Callithrix jacchus: one gene and its partners. The protein of the gene in region 1 purifies or fractionates together with the protein of each later gene. This does not show direct contact. Links are inferred from orthologs where the notes say so. Each region holds a gene or a part of one and is shown in the gene's direction. Other genes may lie near its edges.

Region 1 (7,434 bases):
GCTGCGCCGGGTTGCAGGGAAGGGAGGAGACGGGATGCGGAGAGAACGTTTGCCCCCGAGAACGGACCCGGCAGCCGCGGCCACCGGTGGCAGAGCAGCAGTGGCTGGGCCTCCCCGCTCCCTTGCCCTTACTCATCCACCAGCTCTTGAGTTCACTGCGAAACTCGTCCTAGCCTACTTCGAGGACTTTTCTCACCTTCCTTTCTCAGATGCCCAGAATTTCCATATATGAAAAACAGAAAAACTCTACTTTTCCTCAAGTAGAGATGAGGCGTGACAACTTGACGAAAGTACTTTAAACTAGAGGCCTCTGGTGTTGGACGTTTTCCCAGTACCAGATGAAAGAATGCATGTATATAATACTTAAGTGCAGGTGTATAAAATGGCCACTTTACATATTCATCACATTTTGTGATTTTGAAAATTATTTTAAATGAGCTCTGTTTCTCAAAGTGTCAATAGTATGTATTTGGTTCTTGACTCTTTCTGTTACTCCAACTTTTCTTTGAAAGCAGACCAAAGGAAACTGCCTTAAGAAGTGCCAAATCGTTGACATAATGACACATGGCAGGAAGGGTCATTTTGAGGGTTGAGTTAATCTATGCTTTTAGCACACTGCCTCGCACACAGTAAGCCCTTGTTATTGATCGGTAGTAGCCAAGATGTCACTGCTTACTCTCTGTGACCTCAAATCAGGACTCAATCCTGAGAATCTGCCAATTGCTTAAATTGTACCCTTCATCTGCCCCATGTAAGTAGTTGCTGTGTATGTTATTCTGCTGGTACTTTGCACAAAAAAATATTTTCTCAATTAAAAAAAAATGTTTTCCAAATTGAGAATGGTATTAATATGGACTTATATATAAAAAAAAGGACTCAGAGATATTTCAGTCTCTGGAGGTCTTGCTCCATCCACAAAAGAGGAGCCTGGGAATATACCAACAACACAGTAAACAATCCCTCCCACTTCTCCACACTTCTACGAAGTGTGTCAGAATAGTACAGCAACAAAATTAATTGTAGGGCTCTAGCATACAGGATCAGGAGTTGGCAAACTTTTTCTGTAAAGGGCTGGCTAGTAAACATTTTAGGCTTTGTGGGCCACATACAGTCTCTGTCACATATTCTTCTCTGTTTTTATAGTTCTTAAAAACTGTAAAAACAGTTCTTTCATTGTGGGCTATACCAAAAATGGAGTTGTAGTTTGATGACCCCTGTACTAGACTGATGAATTTCATTGCTGTCCAATTATGACTTTAGTGGAGAGGGTTTTTATATTTTTAGTATAACATGGCCACTGACCAAAAAAGTGCCATATTTGAAACAGATGGACCACCTTCCCCTGATGAATATCTACAAGAGAAATTAAAGGCCCAACACTGAAATGTACCCTTTCTTTTCACCACAGAGAAATTAAAGTTCTTGTCCCCAAAAAGAATTAAACTTTACAATTTTGTTTTTCACGCTTTTGACTATTCCGTTTTAGCCAGAGTTTGTTTCGCTAGAGTGCAGTGGCTTGATCACAGTTCACTACAGCCTCCACCTTCCAGGCTCAGGCAGTCCTCTTACCTCAGCCACCCTCCTGAGTAGCTGGGACTGCAGACATGCACCACCATGCCCAGCTAATTTTTGTTTGTTTGTTTTAGATGGAGTTTCGCTCTTGTTGCCCAGGCTGGAGTGCAGTGGCGTGATCTCAGCTCATTGCAGCTTCCACCTCCCAGGTTCAAGCAATTCTCCAGCCTCAGGAGTAGCTGGGATTACAGGTGCCCACCACCATGACTAGCTAATTTTTGTATTTTTCATAGAGACAGGGTTTCACTGTGTTGGTCATCAGGCTGGTCTCGAACTCCTGACCTGAGGTGATCCACCTGCCTTGGCCTCCCAAAGTGCTGGGATTACAGGCGTGAGCCACAGTGCCTGGGCAATTTTTTAATTTTTTGTAGAGACAGGGTCTCACTTTGTTGCCTAGGCAGGTCTCAAGCTCCTGGACTCAAGTGATCCTCCCATTTTCAGCCTCCCGTTTCAGTTGTGACCCACCACACCCTGACAGCCTAGTTTCATTCAGTTGCTGCAGCTTGAACCATCTTCCACTGGAACACGGTTGTGTTGTTTTCAGCAGTTCCAGTTAAATTAATTCAGCTTCAATATTCTCATGTACTTTGCTTTGCAAAGTTACAAAGGATCTATAAGACAAGAATATTATCATACCAGGCCTTGTTGGGGAGAAACCCCACAAGAGCCAAGGCGAGAGTCTGAGACCTCAGTCTGTTCTCATATAAATATTGAATTAAAAAAGAATTAGCGATAGTTACATAGTTATTCCTATAATAATCACATAACTATTCACATGTAATCATAAATATATACATTTATACAATCATATAATCTTTAATTTTATTAGTAAGTCTCAGGTCATGAAGTATGGAACTGAAGTGGCATTGGGAAAGAAGTGACCCTGAGGCAAGATGCTCTAAGCCCTCCTTCACGCCCGCATAAGGGCTGCTGGAGGGCGCCTCGGCTATGCAGCAGCGCCAGCGCTGTGAAAGTGCCCACTGTTTAACCAGCTAGGGAAGGAGATGTCCAAAATGGCTGAGACATCTCCTTCCTCGGGGGAGTTAGGAGAAAACTCCGCTCTTCCAAGCCCTTGTGGTAGCCCTGGCAGCTATCAGGGAGGCCCCCGGTCATCCAGGGGCTTAATTGTCTCTATGTGATGCTGTGCTTCAGTGGTCACGTTCCATGTCTACTTTCATGTTCCGCTTCTGCACTTGGTTCCTCTCTTTAAGATAAGAATTAGTAATAGTAACATAAATGTTAACATCCCTGATATTCTTGACAAATATGAAAAAAGTTAGGTTTTCTCCTTGCCTCGGCTTCTTGAAAATCCTGAGCCCGTTTCCAGGACATGTGATTTACCTGACCCTATCACTGACCACCATTACCTCACCCTACCTATCCTGCCCCCTGCTTTGTACTCAATAAAAGTCAGAGTGTCCAGGCACTCGGGGCCACTGCCAGACTCTGTACTTTGGTTGGCAGTGGATGGCTGGGCCCAAACTCTCTTTTCTCTATCTCTGTGTCTTGTGTCTTTATTTTCACTGTTTCTCGTCCCCACATCTGTAGAGAGGGACTCACAGGACCCTATAAGTCCTCAGTCAGAAAATATTGTCCAAGTAAAAGTTATTCTGTGACTAGCTATGTTATCTGGTAGAAAGGGGGAAACCTAGAAAATAGAAGAAAAAGTTCTTGGCTTTAGTTTTTCAAGAATGATTCTTATCTAGAGCGTATGAACACCCATAGTCTATGAAAGTAAAAATTAACGGGAGAAATCTACCATGAGGAGGTTAATTATTTTACATATGTTCTACATATAGACTGACTCCTGTATCAGAGATTTGAAACATCTCAGTCCTCTGAAATTTAAAAATTTGTGCTCTGATGGCACTTCCAGTCTCATCTTACCTGAGGTTCTTTTTTTTTCTCTAGTGTCTTTGCATATACTTAAAGTTTCCCTATTTGTATTTCCCTATTTACCATTTATTACTGGTATCAGCTGCAAGACTTTCTAGTAGGCCATTTCTTGGTTACTGAATACTGTACTCATACAGTGCTTGACATAGTTTAGATTTATTGAAGGAATAACTAGAAGTAGACTATGTAGGGATATGTCTCTAAAGTTATGGTTTTCTTAGTTGCTGCCACCTACTCTGGAATTTCGTAGGTTCCAGTTTTCTCATGCTTGAATGATACAGAACCCCCTTTACCAGCAGTAGATCAGACAGCAAGATATAGAGCCCCCTTTAAAGGAAAAAGAAACAAACAACGGAAGGGCCCTTCTTTATGGTGTTTTAATTAATTGTATTTCATTTTTTCAAATTGCTCTAGCTAAAAAAAATGCAAAAGTAGAAATATGTTTGGGAAAAACACAATGCAGAGATTGGTATTATCTCATATAAAAAAGTCATTGCAGTCCCAGCGCAGTGGCTCACACCTATAATCCCAGCACTTTGGAAGGTCAGAGTGGGAGGATCACTTGAGCCCAGCAGTTCATGACCATCCTGGGCAACATAGCAAGACCTCATCTCTACAAATAATAAAAAATTAGCTGGGCATGGTGGGGTGTGCCTGTGGCCCTAGCTACTTGGGAGTCTGAGGTGGGAGGATTACTTGAGCCTAGATCATTGAGACTGCAGTGAGCCATGATCACACCACTACACTCCAGCCTAGGTGGCAGAGCAAGACCCCATCTCAAAACAAAAAAACACAAAACTCATTGCAATAAAAATTGCTTTTGAAAAAATTTAAGAAGTGGGAAAATAACATTATTTTTGGGGTTTTGTTTGTTTCTTAGGTTTTCATTGCTCAGTCCCGATCATCTGGAAGTCACCGAGATGTTGAAGACGAAGAACTTACAAGAATCTTTGTTATGATACCAAAGTCCTACACAGAAGAAGATCTGCGGGAAAAATTTAAGGTACTTATGTTTTCTAACCAGTTAGCATATGTGATAACTCACAGTCCTACATAGGTTGTGTTGGTACTAAATCTGAAGTGTTGTTTGAATAAGGTCAGTAGAGTAGTCATGGGGAATTACGTAACTTTTCATAATTTTCAATCTACTCTTTAAATATTAAACCTAGCATAAATTAGTTTTTAAAATTACAGATTATATAAAATCTGAAAAGTAGTAATTGTAGTCTTCCCCTGCTTTATTGTGACAGTAGAGAGTCACAGAAATGAAGTACAAAGCTCAAAGACTTTTAAGTAAAGTCACAGCTAGTAGGTGGTAGAGCTGTGATTTTAAACCCAGACTCTCGGAGTCTGGAGCCTGTTCTTGGTCTTTAAAATTTCAAAGCACTCTCTTATCACTCCCCTCTATTGCCTGGCATGTGGAGGTGAATCAGGCAGGCCTGAGTGTGTGAACTGTGTTGTCTAGTATTTGTAACAGGCCTATGGTGTGTTGATATGGTACTACTCATTCACAGAAAGTCTTGTTCTTTGAAGAATTTTCATCCTAAAATTGGTCCTTAGAAGGAGTTACATATAAAGAAGAAAACTAAGTACAGCTCTGACCTATATAAATGAAATTCAAAGATCATTTTAAGTCTTTTTAGCCATTAACTTATGCAATGATAAGCTTTCACAAGAATTATTAAAAAGCAATTTTTAAATTGTTTTGAGTTGTAGTTTTTCATCTTTTTTCTACTAGTCCTTCCATGAATTGGGTGGCAAAAAGCAAGAAAGAAAATAAGCAGTAAAAAGTAATTTTTGAACTTCCTCTGCTATCCCAATTGAGAATTCAGAAAAATACTTCAAAAATAACAAATACCAAAAATGTGTATTCATGCTTTCTCCAGTAATAAGAAAAATGTTTTTTACCTTAAATATTTATAAATGTTTATCGTTTCCTGAATGAACAAGTATGACACTTTAATGTATAGTAATTAAGTTGCTAATTAATTACTTAAGAATTTGTAAAATAAATATTAATGGTTTATATTTCATATTCATTTACATTAAAAGTAAACACTACTGCATGTTTCTCAGAATAGTAACTTTCTGAGTGAACCAGTGTATTTTAAAGATATCCTTTGAAAAGCTGTCCTTCTAAAGAATACACAATCATTTATGCTCCTGTTAGAAGACAGACAAGTAGTTATAGCTAATGTTCTTTGAGTGTTTAGTATGTTTTAAGCCCCATGTAAGCACTTCACATATTTTACTTCAGTTAACCCTTAAACAACCCTGTGAGGTGGATACTACTGTTTGTTTCTTTTAATAGATAAAGAGGTAGGTACAGAGAGAATAAATAAACTGCCTAATTAATAAGAGGGTGATCCAGAATTTCAATCTAGAAAGTTTAATTCCAGAGCTCTGGCTCTTAACCACTTTTGAGCAAGATTTTGGAGGTATCTGGACCATGTACAGATTCTTACTTTTTTTTCTGTGGCTTTGTCCCTCTGATTTCTCTAAACCCCAGCTTCCTCATCTCTGAAATAAGCAGTATAAAATATGCAGATATTTTATACTGCTTACTTCTTTGCATGCAAGGGTCACATACAAATTTTTGGTTCAGTAGTACTCTGTTCAATTAATTTCAAGTCCCCTAAGATAATGTCTTTTAACTCTCTTAGGTGTATGGAGATATCGAGTATTGCAGCATTATTAAGAATAAAGTCACTGGAGAAAGTAAAGGTTTGGGCTACGTACGATACTTAAAACCATCACAAGCTGCCCAAGCAATAGAAAACTGTGATCGAAGTAAGGATGTGTTTGTTTAACATTCTTAAAAACTTCTGTAAAAAATTCTGATTATTCTAAATAACTGAATTTAATACTGGTTTTTGCTAATAACCAGATCTGGTAATGTAATTTTAGTAGTAGGTATTTGAATACATGCAGTCCAAGGATGAAAAATACCTTGGGGCTATGATTAAACATTCATTGAGGCACTACCTTGAAATAAGAGCAACTACTTTAAGTTAGTGAAATGTATACTTTGGTTATTATTTGCAGAGGATTTGGGGTTTTTTTCATGTATTTTAGAATTTTAAGTATTAAAAATTGACTTACCTTTTCAGGGTTTTTAAAATATCTTTATATTTGTTTATATTTGATCTACACCCCAAAGAGTATACAGTATAACTAATAAACATATAGGTTAAAAATAAGATTTATAAGACGTGCTAACATAAGTAATTAATATAGCTAGGGTTAATTTCAAGCTAGTGTGACATGAATTTGATCTTCTGATGTTGCTGTATATATAAAGCATAAGAATTTTAAAGAAGTCATGGAGAACATTCTTTCTTGGTATACTTCTAGTTAAGTATATTGACCTTTAGAAATTAGATGTGGAATAATTAAATTACAGGATGTTAGGACATTATAAAAATCTATGTGTACTGGAAAGAATTACTGTTAATCAGTAGAATTCTTAGATATCCCTAAGGTACATACCAAAATTTTCTCTTAGATCCTTCTAAATTCTCATTTAGCTAGTACTAATTGAGTACCTGTGGTATACTCATCAGTATGCTAAGTGGAGGGATACAGATGAAGTATATGGCAGCCTTAGCATTTAAGGAATTTATAGCTATATTGAGTAGCCAAGATCTAATAGGCAAAAAAACAAATAAGGAATAATGGAAGAACTTTTTTTTGAAGGCTCTTTGAAAGCAAGAAGTATGTCTTTTTTGTCTGTCACTCCAAGTATCTAGTACAATATTAGGCCCTCAATAAAGATTTATTAAGCTCTCTATAAAAGTAACTGCCATTTGTAGTAGACTCAATAAGAATTTGCCAAATGAAAAAATGTTTGTAAGTATATGGTAGAGTCTATCAATGGTGAAAAACAAATGTGCTGGATGAGCATGGGAACACATGCGGAGAGGGTAGGACTTATGTCTGGTGTTGAGTAGGCAGGACAGAAGATGA
Region 2 (7,915 bases), on another chromosome or scaffold:
CCTGCAATCCCAGCTACTCTGGAGGCTGAGGCAGGAGAATCACTTGAACCTGGGAGAGGGAGCTTGCAGTGAGCTGAGATCGCACCACTGCACTCCAGCCTGGGCAACAGAGCAAGACTTCTCTTGAAGAGAAAAATAAAATAAATGCAAAAGAAAAAAGAAAAAGAAAGTCCCCAACCATCAGTTGTCATATTGTGACCCCCAAGAAGATGTAACTTTTTATTAAATTTTAAATACAGATGTTTATTTTTACCTCAATATTTAAGCAATTTAACTTCAACCAACCCCTTAATTTGAGTTACGGATGCAGAGTATATAAATGTTTGTCAAACATTTTGCCTGCCATCAATAGTTACTCAATAAATAGATATATTTTTAAAGAACACACAGCTAAATAGGGCAAGTAAAGATAATTGAGTTTTATGTGTTATGATACAATAATGAATTTTAAACTTTTCAAAAGTACAATAACTGGTCTAGGTTCTCAAGTGTTAAGTCTGTACAAATACAGTTTCTGGAACTAACTATATAAGCCAACATTTATTGAGCATTTGCTGTGTGGTAAGCACACAGATGACCTGATTTAATACTTATAATAACCTGGGATGTTAAGTACTATTAATATGTTGATTTTACAGATGATAAAATCCAAGGTTCAAATAGGGTAAACATTTTTGCAAGGGCACAGATTCATCATAAGATGGATTTTGGGGGCTTGACTCCAGAACTTTAGAACTCTATAATGTAATAAGGTGAAAACAAATTTATTTCCAGAATTCCAGATACTGGCACTAATGCATTTTTTTAAAATTATAAGCAAGAGTGTTTAAAGAAAAGGTAAACGCATGGAATGCAATGTTATAAATGAAAATATGAGTGATGGCCAAGCGCAGTGGCTCATGCCTGTAATCCCAGCACTTTGGGAGTTCAAGGAGGGCGGATCACCAGGTCAAAAGATCGAGATCATCCTGACCAACATGGTGAAACCCTGTCTCTACTAAAAAATACAAAAATCAGCCGGGCGTGGTGGTGCGCTCCTGCAGTCCCAGCTACTCCGGAGAGGCGAAGAATCACTTGAACCGGCAGGCGGAGGTTGCAGTGAGCCGAGATTTCGCCACTGCACTCCAGCCTGGTGTCAGAGCGAGACTCCATCTCAAAAAAAAAAAAAAAAAAAAAAAGAAAAGAAAATACGAGTAATTACAACTACTGCCCCTCACTTTGTGAACCTGCCTTGGGTTACAGAAGGAAATTTGGATATTTCTGGATTTTTGTCTTGCTTTTTAATGGCTAACTGTATTATTTCTTTTATTTTTGAGACGTAATCTCACTCTGTTGCCCATGCTAGAGTGCAGTGGCGACATCTAGGCTCACTGTAACCACCTCCTGGGTTCAAACAATTCTGCTTTAGCCTCCCGAGTAGCTGGGATTATAAACGCACACTACCACGCCCAGCTAATTTTTATGTTTTTAGTAGAGATGGGGTTTCACCATGTTGGCCAGGCTGGTCTCAAATGATCCACCAACCTTGGCCTCCCAAAGTGCTGGGATTACAGGCGTGAGCCACCGTGCCCAGCCTGTATTAATTCTAGATAACATGTCATGCCGGCTTTGTGATTAATTTTGTGTATAGGTGAGTGGCATAACTTGTCAGTCTGCTTTTAAATGTAACTTCTTAAAATATCAGCAGCATTTATGTGTATATGACACTGGCTTGCGTTTGAGGTGGATATCAGAAAAGAAAGCAGAAAAACCCAACTTGCCTTTTTCACCGGGAATATGGGGGCTTCTTTGGCCAAATCGTGTGCGTGCAGGATCCATGTGCTGGGCAGCGGGTCTCAGGGCCACAGCCTGTGGGCTGCATCCTGCTCTTCTACAGAGGCTTCTCCAGAAAAAGAACAGATGGAGAGGTGAAGATAAGTAAAAGCGGTATTTTAAAACTTTTAGAGTGCTGGGTTCTAAATTTATATTCTGAAAGACAATCTCTTTTTGAAAATGTTTTATGCAAGTCTAATATACATACAGTATCAACCTCGTTTTAGAAGCAATTACGACAGAACGTTGGAACAGAATTCACGTAATCGACCTCCTTCCAGAAGCTGCTACTAAATCAACAAGATTCAAATCCCTCTCCTTAAGAGGAGCAGCGCGAGCCACTGCAAAGACGCACGTTTCAGTCGGGCCATTCCGCAGTGGGAACTAAACCGAACGCAGGCTTTCCCACGCTTCAACAGACCTGTGATCTCAAGACAGTCTCTTCCGTGACGTGGAGGCACTTCGGACTACCTGTACCTTCAGACATTATGGTGTGTTTGGCCATGTCATTTGTCACAGGTGTAAAAATCACAACAATCGAGAGCCCGAAGCTGCTGGGATGAGCACCTGCGGCAGAATCGCGCTCCCGCGCTCCTTCCTGCTCTTTCCAAGAAGACAGGCGTGGCCGTCCAGCATCCCGCTCCCCCGGACCCCGCAGTCCTTGTCGGCAGGAGGCCCGGAGTGGTGCGAGCCGAAGGTGGCGTTAGAAAGGCGGCGTCCCGACCAGCAGAGTGACTCGGCCTCCGGCTCCCCCTCAAAGCGCCATCTTGTCGCCGCTTCCCTCAGGAGAAGACGAGCTCTTCCCTGGGACCTGCTTCGCGGCTTCCCTTTGCCCGAGTAACACCGGGCGGGGGCGGCGGCCTCTCTGGCCCTGCCGGCGACAGAGCGCAGGGAGGGGAGCGGCGGCAGACTGGCCTGAGGCCGGCGGGCGGGCGGCCTGTAGCCTCCAGGCGCGGCCTGCTGCGGCCCAGGCGCCTCCTCGATCCCGCCCCTGCCCGGCTCCGGACCTCCGCCTCTGCCGCCACCGCCTCCGGGAGCCCGGAGCCGCGTCCCGCCGGCGCCGCCTCTTCCGCCTGCTTGCCGGCGGGCCTGCGCGGGTCTGGGCGGCGTCCGCGCCGGGCGGGTCCGCTACGTCAGCGCCGCCCGCCCGCCCCGCCCCGGCCCTCAGCCTCGGCCTCGGCCTCGGCCTCGCAGCGGCGGCAGCGGCGGCGGCGGCAGATCCCTCCCCAGACATGGCCCTGGGAGGCGGCAGCACATGGCGGCCGCGGCGGCCATGAGCGCGCCCCCGACCCGCCCCAGTCCCCCCTAGAGGCCGCCGCCCCCGCCCGCCCGCCCGCCCGCGCGCCACGGCCCCACCGCCCCCGGCCCCGCCGCCCCCCGCCCGCACCCGCGCCCGCGCCCCCGCCGCCGCCATGGGCGTGCAGGGCTTCCAGGACTACATCGAGAAGCACTGCCCGAGCGCTGTGGTGCCGGTGGAGCTGCAGAAGCTGGCCCGGGGCAGCCTGGTGGGCGGCGGGCGGCAGCGGCCCCCGCAGACCCCGCTGCGCCTGCTGGTGGACGCCGACAACTGCCTGCACCGCCTCTACGGCGGCTTCTACACCGACTGGGTCAGCGGCGGCCAGTGGAACCACATGCTCGGCTACCTGGCGGCGCTGGCCAAGGCCTGCTTCGGCGGCAACATCGAGCTCTTCGTCTTCTTCAACGGCGCGCTCGAGAAGGCCCGGCTGCACGAGTGGGTCAAGCGGCAGGGCAACGAGCGCCAAACGGCGCAGCAGATCGTCAGCCATGTCCAGAACAAGGGCACCCCGCCGCCCAAGGTCTGGTTCCTGCCGCCCGTCTGCATGGCCCACTGCATCCGCCTGGCGCTCATCCGCTTCCACGTCAAGGTGAGGCTGGGGATCCGGGCGGGCCGGGGACCGGGGGCCGCGCCGCACCCTTATCCCCTTTCCCAGGGCGCAGAATGTCGCCCGGCCGTGGCGGCGCGGGGGGCGGCGAGCTCCCCCAGCCCTGGCTCTGGATAGCCGGGCCGGGCCGGGCCGCGCCGCAAGATGGATGGCCGCGGGTGCAGGCCGCGCGCTGCCCAAGCCCGCCTCCAGCTGTCCCTGTTCGGGGTCCACGGCAGCGTGGGGACACTTGAGGGCTGGAAGAGAGCCGCCCGGGACCAGAATTCGGAGGCAGCAGTGTCATCTTCCCCAATATCCGTAGTTTTTCCCGTCCTTTTTGAGGCGGGCAGGCTATCACTCACCTTTAACTTTGACAAAATACTCCCTTTTCTAATTTAGCCTGTTCTTTCCCAGCAACAGGTTCATCTTGGAAGCAGGCAGGATACAGAGTAATAGAGGGGGTTTCGCCGGGGCCCTTGGGGGCTGCAAGTATCAGTGCTGCCGCCGCCGCCCTTGCCAATGTTGTTAGCCCGGTGACAGCGAGACGTGTCTAAGGGCTAGTGCCCTGCCCGTATTCCTCTTAGAACGAGGTGTTTAGAGATCTTTCTATGGCTTTTTGTGTTAAGATTTCAAAGAACCGTGCACTTTGACAGGATGGGATTTTGTCAGTTCTGTGACTTCAAGTCCGTGTGAAAGAGGTCTTTAAGGCAGTTCAGTTTTGTAGATCCCATGCGAAAGGAGTCGCTCAAAGTCAGGGGCCGAGCCACGCGGGCGTGAACTCGCAGGATTTATTTTTCGGGTGCACAGTAAGTATTCAGTGACCTTCAGCGGCGCCCTGACGGGTGGGTAACCAGAGCTCTACATCACCGGCCTCCTCTGGCCCTTTGGCAGAGGGCTCCGCAGCTGGCACTGGGCCAAAGGAGAACTTCAGGACCCAGCAGTGACTGTGAAGATAAGTACATACATGATCCTGGACTTCACGTTGTGATTGCTTGCTTTTTTCATTGATTTTCTTGAAAACAAAATTTGGGGAGGCTTTTTGCTGCCTTAGCTCTTGCCATTCTATCTTCCATCTTGTTATTCTTTGACATTTCCTTGAAACTGCTGGAGCTGAAAATTTGTGAAATTCCGTCTTCGCGGTTGCCCCCACTGCCCCGCGACGAGATGGTGGTAGTTAAGCCTAAAATGATAGCGGAAGTCCCACCCAAGATCTGGTTGCAATTGGTGAGATGGTGTTTAAGCCGTGGGTGGAGGCGGCCGGCAGAGTCCCGATTGGCCCCTGCGCCTGGCAGACACACAGCTGCCAGTCCACAGGGAAGTTCGTGTGAGAGGAAGTGCCTGCCTCTTAAATCTGGGGCGCTCAGGGAAGTAAGGTGCTGCCATTTGTCGGAAGTGATCCACCTCCCGAATAGAGCGTAAAAGTGTTCATAGTTTAGTCTTGCTCAGAAATGGAAAAGACTGCTTAAAAGACAGGATGAGCTGTACTTACTTGCCTTTGATAACCGCACATCTATCTACTTAACTAGTCAAGTAACTTTCAAGGGAACACTGTTGACTATTACTTAGGATTAGAATTAGTATGTATGCATATGGTCACTGTATCGTGAAAGAACTGTTTTAATTCTATGATTTCTTTATCTCTGCACCCCTTTGAATGCCTTACACACCTAGTAGGTGCTCAGAATTCTGACCAATGTGTAACTGTTTGGAAACTAGATTTAAGCTACATTTAAGATCATCTTTTCCACTTAGGTTTCTGGACACTGGATAACTTTGTCTATATTTTGCTTTTGCTAAGCTTTTATTTATTGATCTAACATCATGTTATAGTGTGCATTGCACAAAATGAATATTGTAATGACTCAATTACCTGGTGGTTTCTTAGCTGGTCACCTTACCTTTTTGAAAAGTGCCTAAGAGATTTAGCTACTAGAAATTTCTCAGTAACCAAACAAGATGTCAGGAAGTTTGGGTACAATGATGTGGGGTTGGCGGGGGCGGGGGGTTTGGGGGCCTTTGCTTTCCCCACTGAAGAATCCTTTACGCTCTCTCACTCACGGGCTGTCCTCTTTTTAGATGTAATTCTAACAAGCTTAGTTATCTATTTTCTAAACTCAACTTGAGAAGAGAGTGAAGAGTGTTCCAGAGGCAGGAGCACCGTTAATAGCAAGAAGTGACAAGAGAGAAGATTTAAAAAGCTATAAAAAGCAGAAATAATTCTGGGGCTATTTTAGGAAAAGGAACACAACTCTATGTACTTCACTAGTCCCTGAGGGTAGTACAGTGTTTGTTCTGTAAGGATGATTTTGAGTCAGAAAAATTTATATTCAGCATTATCTGTTTAAGGTCTTGAAACTGTACTGTTTAATAAAAGATGCCCATGAAATGGTTAAAACATTTAAAACCATGATGAGGTATCACTGTGGGCCTCTTAGAATGGCTAAAAGAAAAAAAAAAGCAAAACCAAGTGCTAGCAAGAATGCTGAGCAACTGGATCCTTACACATTGCTTGTGGGAATGCAAAATGGCATTGCCACTCCAGAAAACTGTCAGTTAAGTTAAACACATTTATCATACGATCCGGGGTATTTTGAAGACTTTTGTTCATGCAAAAATTGGGTCTCAATGTCTATAGCAACTTAATTCATAATAGCCAAAACCTAGAAACTATCAAAGTATTCTTTAATAAGTGAATGGTTAAACTATGGTATAGCCATACTATGGAATACTACTTAGCAATAATAAGGAAGGAACTGCTGGTGTAGGTAACTACTCGCATCAATCTTTAATTAAGGTTTTATGCTGAGTGAAAGAAACCAGGTTCAAAAGGTATAAAACTATAGTGATGGGGACCAATTCAGTGGTGGTGAGAGTAGAGGAGGGGAAGGATATATGCATAAAGGGACAGCAGAGAGAGCTTTTTGGAGTGATAGTACTGTTCTGTATTCTGATGGTGGTGATGATACCATACATAAAAATCAAAACTATTCATAGAAACACGTTAATTTTATCATATGATAACTTTTTTTAGAATTAAGTTAAAATCACTGGCAAAGGAATTGACATGAACACTTCAGTATATGTAACATTGGGTAAATGAGACATTTATAAAAACTGAACGATCTTATTGGTGCTTTCTAGTGTTTTGTACATTGGCAGAAAGGCATAACTTCCTGTTACCCTTGCCTAGAAAAATCTTTTTTTTTTTTTTTTGATGTGGAATCTTGCTGTCACCTGGCTGGAGTGCAGTGGCTGGCACAACCTTGGCTCACTGCAGCCTTCACCTCCCCGGTTCAAGCAATTCTCCTGCTTCAGTCTCCCATTGAGATTACAGATGGGTGCCACCATGCCTGGCTAATTTTGGTATTTTTAGTAGAGACAGGGTTTCACCATGTTGGCCAGGCTGGTCTGGAACTCCTAACCTCGTGATCCACCTGCCTTGGCTTCCCAAAGTGCTGGGGTTACAGGTGTGAGCCACTGTGCCTGGCCAGGAGAAATTTTTTTTTGATTTAGAGAGTATTTCTTTTACAGAGTAATAATTCTATTTTTTGTTTAGTAGTAGTAATGGTATTTCTTTAAGCATTAGAAGTTGGTCTACATGGTAAGAGAGCCAGAACAATGAAAATAATAATAATACATGGGCCTATGTATTGACTAGTTTTGTGTAGGTCCTGAAATAGCCTAATTTGAACTTGGCTTTAGCTAGTTACTTGGACACTTTCCTCTTGTGTGCTTTGGGTCGTTATAACCTTTGAAACTTAAGTGAGTGACTTCTGTTTATTTTAAAATCTTAGTGACGTGAAGTCACTGGAGCTTTCATAAATGTTTTTGCTATTTCACCAGTATCAGTGTAAGGGTTTATAATGAAGTTCTTCAGATCTTCTGAATTTGCTTCCATTGGAATTTTGTTAAATAATGTTCTTACATAAAATGGCGTTCATGCTTTAAGTCAGTGGAAGAATGTGAGGTTAGACTATGGTTTAGAATTTTCATGGTTAGCATAATTACATGTTGGTATTTAGAGATGATGATCTCTCTTTATGTATAATTGATGAGGGAGAGAACAAACTGGTATCAGACTAGGTCCTTGCTAGGTTCTTTCTCACATATACCATGTCATTTAATCCTCAGAGTGCTTTGTTACTCCATTTTACATGTGAAAAAACAGGATCTATTGATTAAGTGACATCTGGGGACAAGCCATTAGTAATGGCAAGACA
Region 3 (7,434 bases), on another chromosome or scaffold:
TTTTGTTAAGATGTTCCAATTTCTCTCTCTCTTTTTTACCGTCTGTATTTAGGCTATTCACTTGTTTTTCATTTTCTTAGTTATTATCACTCAAATTGTTTTGCTTTTCTGTTTTATTAATTTGCGTAGCTTCTTGAATTCTCCCTCATTTCCCCTGAGACTTTGGTGCTAAACTCAAAATAGCAGTTTGAACGCTGGCACCAATTAGTATTCTAAGTAATTTTTTCTCACCAATAACTCTGTACTATATTCCTATGTACCTAGGTTATTATAATTTCTTTTGCATCAAAATCTCACTATAATCCTCTTTTTCTTTGTTATAGATGGCATGTATGCTGATCTTATTTTTTTCAGGTTACTTTTCCTTACAGTTTTCATTTCTTTGACTTGATATTTGCGTATCTGTTGTGTTTATTCAACTTTCAGCCTGCCTTGTGGTGGGACAGTTTGATTTTATACTTACATCATATGACTCTGGTTTACAAATTAATTTTCCTTGTCGTCAAAAGAAAACTACATTTTAGGTGAACTTGTTTTTTCTTTTTTAGTATAAATAATCTGGCATACTGTTATTTAAAATTTCTTGCACTAGATATCCAAACTACAAGCAATTGAAATATTTCTGTGCCAGCATTACGTATTAGAGAGGAAACTATGACTGGGCTTCATAATGTATTAGATTGAGTGGCTGGAACTTAGCCGTTCTCCTTACCTGTGTAACATTACTTGAATCATTAAATTGTTGGATTTTTTTCGGATAGTTTCCTCATTTGTACACGAGAAAAGCCAGATACCTTACCTCTCTGGGTTGTTGTAGGGATCATCTGCGAGTATGTGAATAGTGCCTTGAGTATATAAAGTATGGTACAGATGTCAAGTTGTAATTTAGGCGTACTGAAACAGTCTGAGTGTTGCTTTCATTAGGAATTTAATTATAGAGATGAATATGTGAAGAGTTTTTATTTCATGATATTTGGGGTTTAATCTGAAAATTCAGAATTTATGTCATAACAAAAAGCGACCAGATGTGGGCTCTTTAACAGAAGTGCTTCTCATCTGGGCCCCCCTGCTACTACTAAACCACCTTACCTCAATCATTATGTCACTTTAATAGTTTTCTTTGGAACATCCATTTATTATGTTTCTTCTGCTGTTAATTTTCTATCGTTATATATCTTTGAATGTGATTTGATCAGATTGCCCATTTCCTCTGACTTTGTCTATTCCCAAAGATTAATGAATTTAGTTTTCTACCTGTCAGCTGCCTTTTAGTTAATCTCAAAGCTTAGAGGAATCACAGGTCATTTAATTATGACTTGTTATTTTCTCTGATTTAAAGGACATACCATGGATTTTTTTTTTCTGTGTATGTGCTGTATTAAGTAGAAGACAGAAAGGTGGAAGAAACAACCTGAAATGTAATTAAAAACTCTTAACTAAATAGAAAAGAGTTAATTCTCAGATTTCTGAATATTAGTCTAAATAGTCAATTTAGTGTTAGAGATATATTTGAGTAGTATGCTCTATTTTTTGTTGGTCATAATTTTCTTTATGTCTTCTGTTTACCAGTGCTGTAATGCTGCATATCAACCTTTGGTCAATTTACCTTCGTTTTTTTCAATCCCTGTTAAGAATGCTCTTTTAAAAAGTCCTATCTCTGTACTTTGGTTTGGATTTCTCTCATTTATGGGAAGCTCTTATGCTTTGAAGTTGTCATTTCTTTTCATTATATGCTTAACTCCTTTGACCTGCTTAACATTTGATACCTTTTGCTTTTCTCACTGTGCCTGTACATTATGTTTTACACTAACATTTTCTCCCCATTTTACTTTGCCCATTCTACAGAAGTTTTAAAGTTTTTTTTATTAGATAGCATGCATGGTACAGGCCAAAAGGCACATAAGGCTTTCCACTGATAAGTGTTTTTTTCATCCTTGTTCCCTAGTTATCATGACCTTTCCCTGCAGCCAACAAGTATTTAGTTTCCTATAACTCCTTCTAGAGATAATCTGTGCAATTAGTAAGTTAATGCATGTATTCCTTGTAATACTTTTAGAAAATGTGGGGCCGGGTGCGGTGGCTCACACCTGTAATCCCAGCACTTTGGGAGGCCGAGGCGGGTGGATCACGAGGTCAAGAGATTGAGACCATCCTGGTCAACATGGTGAAACCCCGTCTCTACTAAAAATACAAAAAATTAGCTGGGCATGGTGGTGTGTGCCTGTAATCCCAGCTATTCGGGAGGCTGAGGCAGGAGAATTGCCTGAACCCAGGTGGCAGAGGTTGCGGTGAGCTGAGATCGTACCATTGCACTCCAGCCTGGGTATCAAGAGCAAAACTCCGTCTCAAAAAAAAAAAAAAAAAGAAAGAAAATATGGTATAATGTCATATTAATGTACACTGTTTGCATTTTGTTTTCGTTTATATCTTTGCAGATCATTCCATATCAACATTTGTAACACTGTCTCATTCTTTTTATGGTGTCATGTCCACTCTATCTTGAACTGAAATTTCAGACACCCTGAATATTCTTCTAGGTTGAGGTGTTTCTTCTGGAAATTCTTTTAAAATTAATATAGTACTCAACTGATAGGTTATGTGTAAATAATGATCTCAGAATCTTTTTTTACATGTTCAGAAAGAGTTACTGTTATAAGTAAAAAAGCTTTACATTCTCAAAAGATAATGAAAATTATTTTTATCTTTGTAGTTTGAATCAGCTTGGGTACTGACAAATATTGCTTCAGGAAATTCTCTACAGACCCGGATTGTGATTCAGGCAGGAGCTGTGCCCATCTTCATAGAGTTGCTCAGCTCAGAGTTTGAAGATGTCCAGGAACAGGTAAAAATGAAACAGAAAGAAGCAGGTGAAAGAATAACATTTTTCCCTTCAATCATATTCAGGGATTGAGTTTTACCAGTTGGCTTTGATAATCTATGGATTGTCACAAAGGAGTGTTCTAGAAATCTAGTCTTAACCAAATAGAAAATTTCTTAGTGAGTGTAGGCAGAATTTTTCTTAGACACATAAAATAATCTTCCCCTTCCAAACCTGACATTCTTTAAGCCCTGAGTATGTACTTTCTAAACCTTGTAAGCAGTTACTAGTAGAGGTTTTTGCTTGTAGAAATTTCCAGTGTTGAAAGTAGGCCAGGCACTGTGGCTCACACCTGTAATTCCACCACTTGGGAGGCTGAGGTGGGCAGATTGCTTGAGCCCAGGAACTCAACCACTCAGGGCAAAATGATGAAACCTCATTTCCACCGAAAAAAAAAATTAGGTGGGCATGGTGTTGCACACCTGTGGTCCTAGTTACTTGGGAGACTGAGGTGGGAGGTTCACTTGAATGAGCTCCAGGAGGCAGAGAGGCTGCAGTGAGCTGAGATCACAGCACCACACTCCAGCCTCGGTAACAGAAGGAGACCTAGCTCAAAAGAAAGTAGTAAGTTTTTATCACTTTTGTGCAGAAAATAGTTTGTTTCACTGTTTTATTTTGTAAGCCAGAAAAATACCTTTTTTTTTTAATGGAGTCTCTGTCACCCAGGCTGGAGTGCAGTGGCACGATCTTGGCTCACTGCAACCTCTGTCTCTCAGGTTTAAGCAATTCTTGTGCCTCAGCCTCTTCAGTAGCTGGGATTACAGGCATCTGCCACCACACCCGGCTAATTTTGTATTTTTAGTAAAGATGGGGTTTCACCGTGTTTTACTCGATACTGGGTGACAGAGCGAGACTCCGTCACCAAAAAAAAAAAAAAAAGAAAAGAAATTGGTTCTTTCCTTTAATAAACTGAATACCTTTAGTTTATTATACACTTTAGAATATTATTTATCTTCTTCCTCCAACCACACAACTGTTTCATTTGACTCCCTGATGAATGTGTTACTGTGATATACTGGCATCTGAAAGAATTAGAAGGGAGTACATAACTTTTATTAATGATTCTTTCACAGGCAGTCTGGGCTCTTGGCAACATTGCTGGAGATAGTACCATGTGCAGGGACTATGTCTTAGACTGCAATATCCTTCCCCCTCTTTTGCAGTAAGTTTCTTCTTCTTCCTTTTTGACAATAAAAACATAAGAGATTCCTCAGAAAGCAGTGCATCTCTGGAAATCATTTTGGATTTTCTGTTGTTATTTTTCATTCCAGACATTTTCTTGTTTAGATCATTTCCTCAGAAAAAAGGAAAAAACGAGGGGAAAAAAAGATCATTCCCTTAAGCACTCTATCTTTCTCTCATGTCAAAATTCTGAATTACTTGTATCAGAATTAATGAAGTTTTAATGTTCTGGGGAAAAGCTATCTGAAGACATCTCTTTATCAAAAGTACTATTACTTAGTATTTATATTATGTTTTCAGAGAATCAATGTCTATTATATAGTTTACCATTGTACCATCATGCTTATAGGTTATTTTCAAAGCAAAACCGCCTGACCATGACCCGGAATGCAGTATGGGCTTTGTCTAACCTCTGTAGAGGGAAAAGTCCACCTCCAGAATTTGCAAAGGTAAGGACTGTGCTTTTGGGACATTGGCAGAAAAAATGCAATTATAAGAGTATAGCAACCAATAGTAAGGTGAACAGAAAGATAATTTTTGTTAAAACTTAAAATGTTAGAATTTTATCTGTTTTTGGAGAAACAGGGTTTTTGTTTTTTTTTTTGGTTCCCTTTATTATTTGAAAAGCAAATTTAAAGCATAGCTTGAAGATGCACATTTATGTAGGGGCTGCAAATAAATAAAAGCATAGCATAAAGGGAGAATTTGTAAAGCTCATTGAAATGAGACTTCATACAATTAGTATACTGTATTAAGAGACTCTTCAGTTCTCCTAAAACAGTGGTTCTCAAAGTATAGTCTGGGAGTCCATGAGATTTTTTTTTTTTTTTTTTTTTTGCAGTAGGTTTTAGGGGAACAGATCAGGTGTTTGGGTACATGAGTAAGTTGTTTAGTGGTGATTTTTGAGATTTTGGTGCACCCATCACCCAAGCAGTGTACAGAGTACCCACTGTCTAGTCTTGTATTTCTCACCTACCTCTCATCCTTTACCCCAGAATCCCCAAAGTTTATTGTATCAATCTCATGCTTTTGTGCCCTCATAGCTTACATCCCACTTATGAATGAGAACATCTGATGTTTGGTTTTCCATTCCTGAGTTACTTTACTTAGAATAATGGTCTCCAGTTCCATCCAGGTTGCTGCAAATGCCGTTGTTTTGTTTCTGTTTATGGCTGAGCAGTATTCTATGGTATATATATCACAGTTTCTTTATCTACTTGTTGATTGATGGGCATTTGGGCTGTTTCCATAATTTTGCAATTGTGAATTGTGCTGCTGTAAATATGCGTGTGCAAGTATCTGTGCACGTTTGTAGCAGTGGAATTGCTGGATCAAATGGCAGATCTACTTTCAGTTCTTTAAGGAATCTCTGTACTATTTTCCATAGTGGTTATACTAATTTACATTCCCCTTTTCACCACATCCATGCCAACATTTATCGTGTTTTTGTTTTTTTGAGACAGGGTTTCGCTCTTGTTGCCCAGGCTGGAGTGCAGTTGTGCAGCACACTGCAACCTCCACCTCCCAGGATCAGGCGATTCTCCTGCCTCAGCCTCCTGAGTAGCTGGGATGATGGGCACACACCACCATGCCCGGCTGATTTTTGTATTTTTAGTAGAGATGGGGTTTCACCATGCTGGCCAGGCTGGTCTTGAACTCCTGACCTCAGGTGATCCACCCACCTCAGCCTCCCAAAGTGCTGGGATTACAGGCATGAGCCACCACATCCCGCCTGTTTTGATTTTTTGATTATAGCAATTCTTGCAGGAGTAAGATGGTATAACATTGTGGTTTCAATTTGCATTTCCCTGATAATTAGTGATGAGCGATGAGCATTTTTAAATGGTTTTTGGCTATTTGTATATCTTCTTTAGAGAATCGTCTGTGTCCTTAGCCCACTTTTTGATGGGATTGTTTTTTTCTTGCTGATTTGAGTTTCTTGTATATTTTGCATATTAGAAGAAACAGGATTTTTTTTTGGTAGTTGTTTTTAATTTGGAATCATTTTTCACTGAATTCATCTTAAAACCCTAGCATTTTTGGTCTAAAGTATCTAAAATACAGAATTTCTTAGCTTTCACATTTTTGAAAGTTTCTTTACCTCTTTAGTCCACAAAGAATGTGTTTTGACAAGGAATCTCACTCCAAGAATTGATGTATATAAAACTTTATGATCTGAAATTAATTTCCTTGGGCTCTGACTACAAATTAGTGCAAGACCACTGACAGCATTGTTAAAGATGGAACTGCCACTTAGGTACTTGTTGTTTCTTGAGAAGTGTAAATCACTCAAGAAGTCACCAAATTTATGCCTGGCTGCCTTCTTGAGTATCTCACCTCACTTCTGGCTTCTAGTCTGTTGGATTTCATAATCATCATTTTCCTTTTATAGGTTTCCCCATGTCTGAATGTGCTTTCCTGGTTGCTGTTTGTCAGTGACACTGATGTACTGGCTGATGCCTGCTGGGCCCTCTCATATCTATCAGATGGACCCAATGATAAAATTCAAGCAGTCATTGATGCGGGAGTATGTAGGAGACTTGTGGAGCTGCTGATGTAAGATATGTTTTAGAAAGTGTGTTCACTTTTTTTCCCTTGGTACTAGTTTTCTAGCTACTAATACTTAAATATTAATTGATTGTATATTATATTGGTTTATTGTGCTTTGGGCTACTATTTTTTGTTACTTGTTTATGTTGATGGCAGATCTGTTTGTCTTGTTTTATTGAGGCTTATAGAGAACCTCTTACTCCTCTGCTGTTAGCAGGCCTTTAGCAGAAATATTTGGAAAACTCTGATCTGTGTAGTTACAGTCTCATACTGGATGACCCGAGATCAACCACTGGACATCAGAAGATACACTGCCAATAAAATAGTCATTCCTTATCTTTCTGTCTCATTTAGAGCTTATTTAAGACAAGTATCAGAAACTGAATCTTACTTTGGTTTATCACCTTTGTGCTGCTTTTGATAATGCAGTAGAAGATTTACTCGTTAAATAAATAATTTGAGACTGTCTTAATCAAATTTTTAGATACGACAGAAGAAAAAAGTGATAACATAATGGAGAAATGGTACAACTACAAGCAACTGGAAATTTAATTAAAGTACAAAATAGATGCGAGGAGACATTGTCTCAAACATGACATTTGGAATAGATTAGATAGTTATAATATGTTAATACAAAATACAACATTATAGCTGGCTGCAGACTGAATGCAGAGCAGTATTGTAGTGCTAATGTGAATGAATGGCAGGCAGTATGATGCTGCAGGAGTCAGTACATCATTCAAAATCTGGGAAGTAAACCTTTGCATTCTTTATCCATTAGACTACTATATATTTTAGCCATTTCTTTTTAATAATCACATCTA

What was found.
Region 2: the proteins of RBM45 (region 1) and FAM120A purify together in Homo sapiens (co-immunoprecipitation; 3 studies listed by BioGRID and IntAct, with this or other methods). This does not show direct contact. The link is inferred for Callithrix jacchus from reciprocal best matches to the Homo sapiens genes RBM45 and FAM120A.
Region 3: the proteins of RBM45 (region 1) and KPNA1 purify together in Homo sapiens (co-immunoprecipitation; 3 studies listed by BioGRID and IntAct, with this or other methods). This does not show direct contact. The link is inferred for Callithrix jacchus from reciprocal best matches to the Homo sapiens genes RBM45 and KPNA1.

Annotation. Positions count from the first base shown.
Region 1 is NC_133507.1:51,304,428-51,311,861, reverse strand, and holds part of RBM45 (RNA-binding protein 45), read left to right. Parts: intron 1-4,348; coding exon 4,349-4,471; intron 4,472-6,131; coding exon 6,132-6,258; intron 6,259-7,434. UniProt on the Homo sapiens protein: RNA-binding protein with binding specificity for poly(C). May play an important role in neural development.
Region 2 is NC_133502.1:71,099,197-71,107,111, forward strand, and holds the start of FAM120A (constitutive coactivator of PPAR-gamma-like protein 1), read left to right. Parts: upstream 1-2,971; 5' UTR 2,972-3,224; coding exon 3,225-3,698; intron 3,699-7,915. UniProt on the Homo sapiens protein: Component of the oxidative stress-induced survival signaling. May regulate the activation of SRC family protein kinases. May act as a scaffolding protein enabling SRC family protein kinases to phosphorylate and activate PI3-kinase.
Region 3 is NC_133516.1:80,574,057-80,581,490, forward strand, and holds part of KPNA1 (importin subunit alpha-5), read left to right. Parts: intron 1-2,710; coding exon 2,711-2,842; intron 2,843-3,951; coding exon 3,952-4,040; intron 4,041-4,409; coding exon 4,410-4,509; intron 4,510-6,452; coding exon 6,453-6,616; intron 6,617-7,434. UniProt on the Homo sapiens protein: Functions in nuclear protein import as an adapter protein for nuclear receptor KPNB1. Binds specifically and directly to substrates containing either a simple or bipartite NLS motif.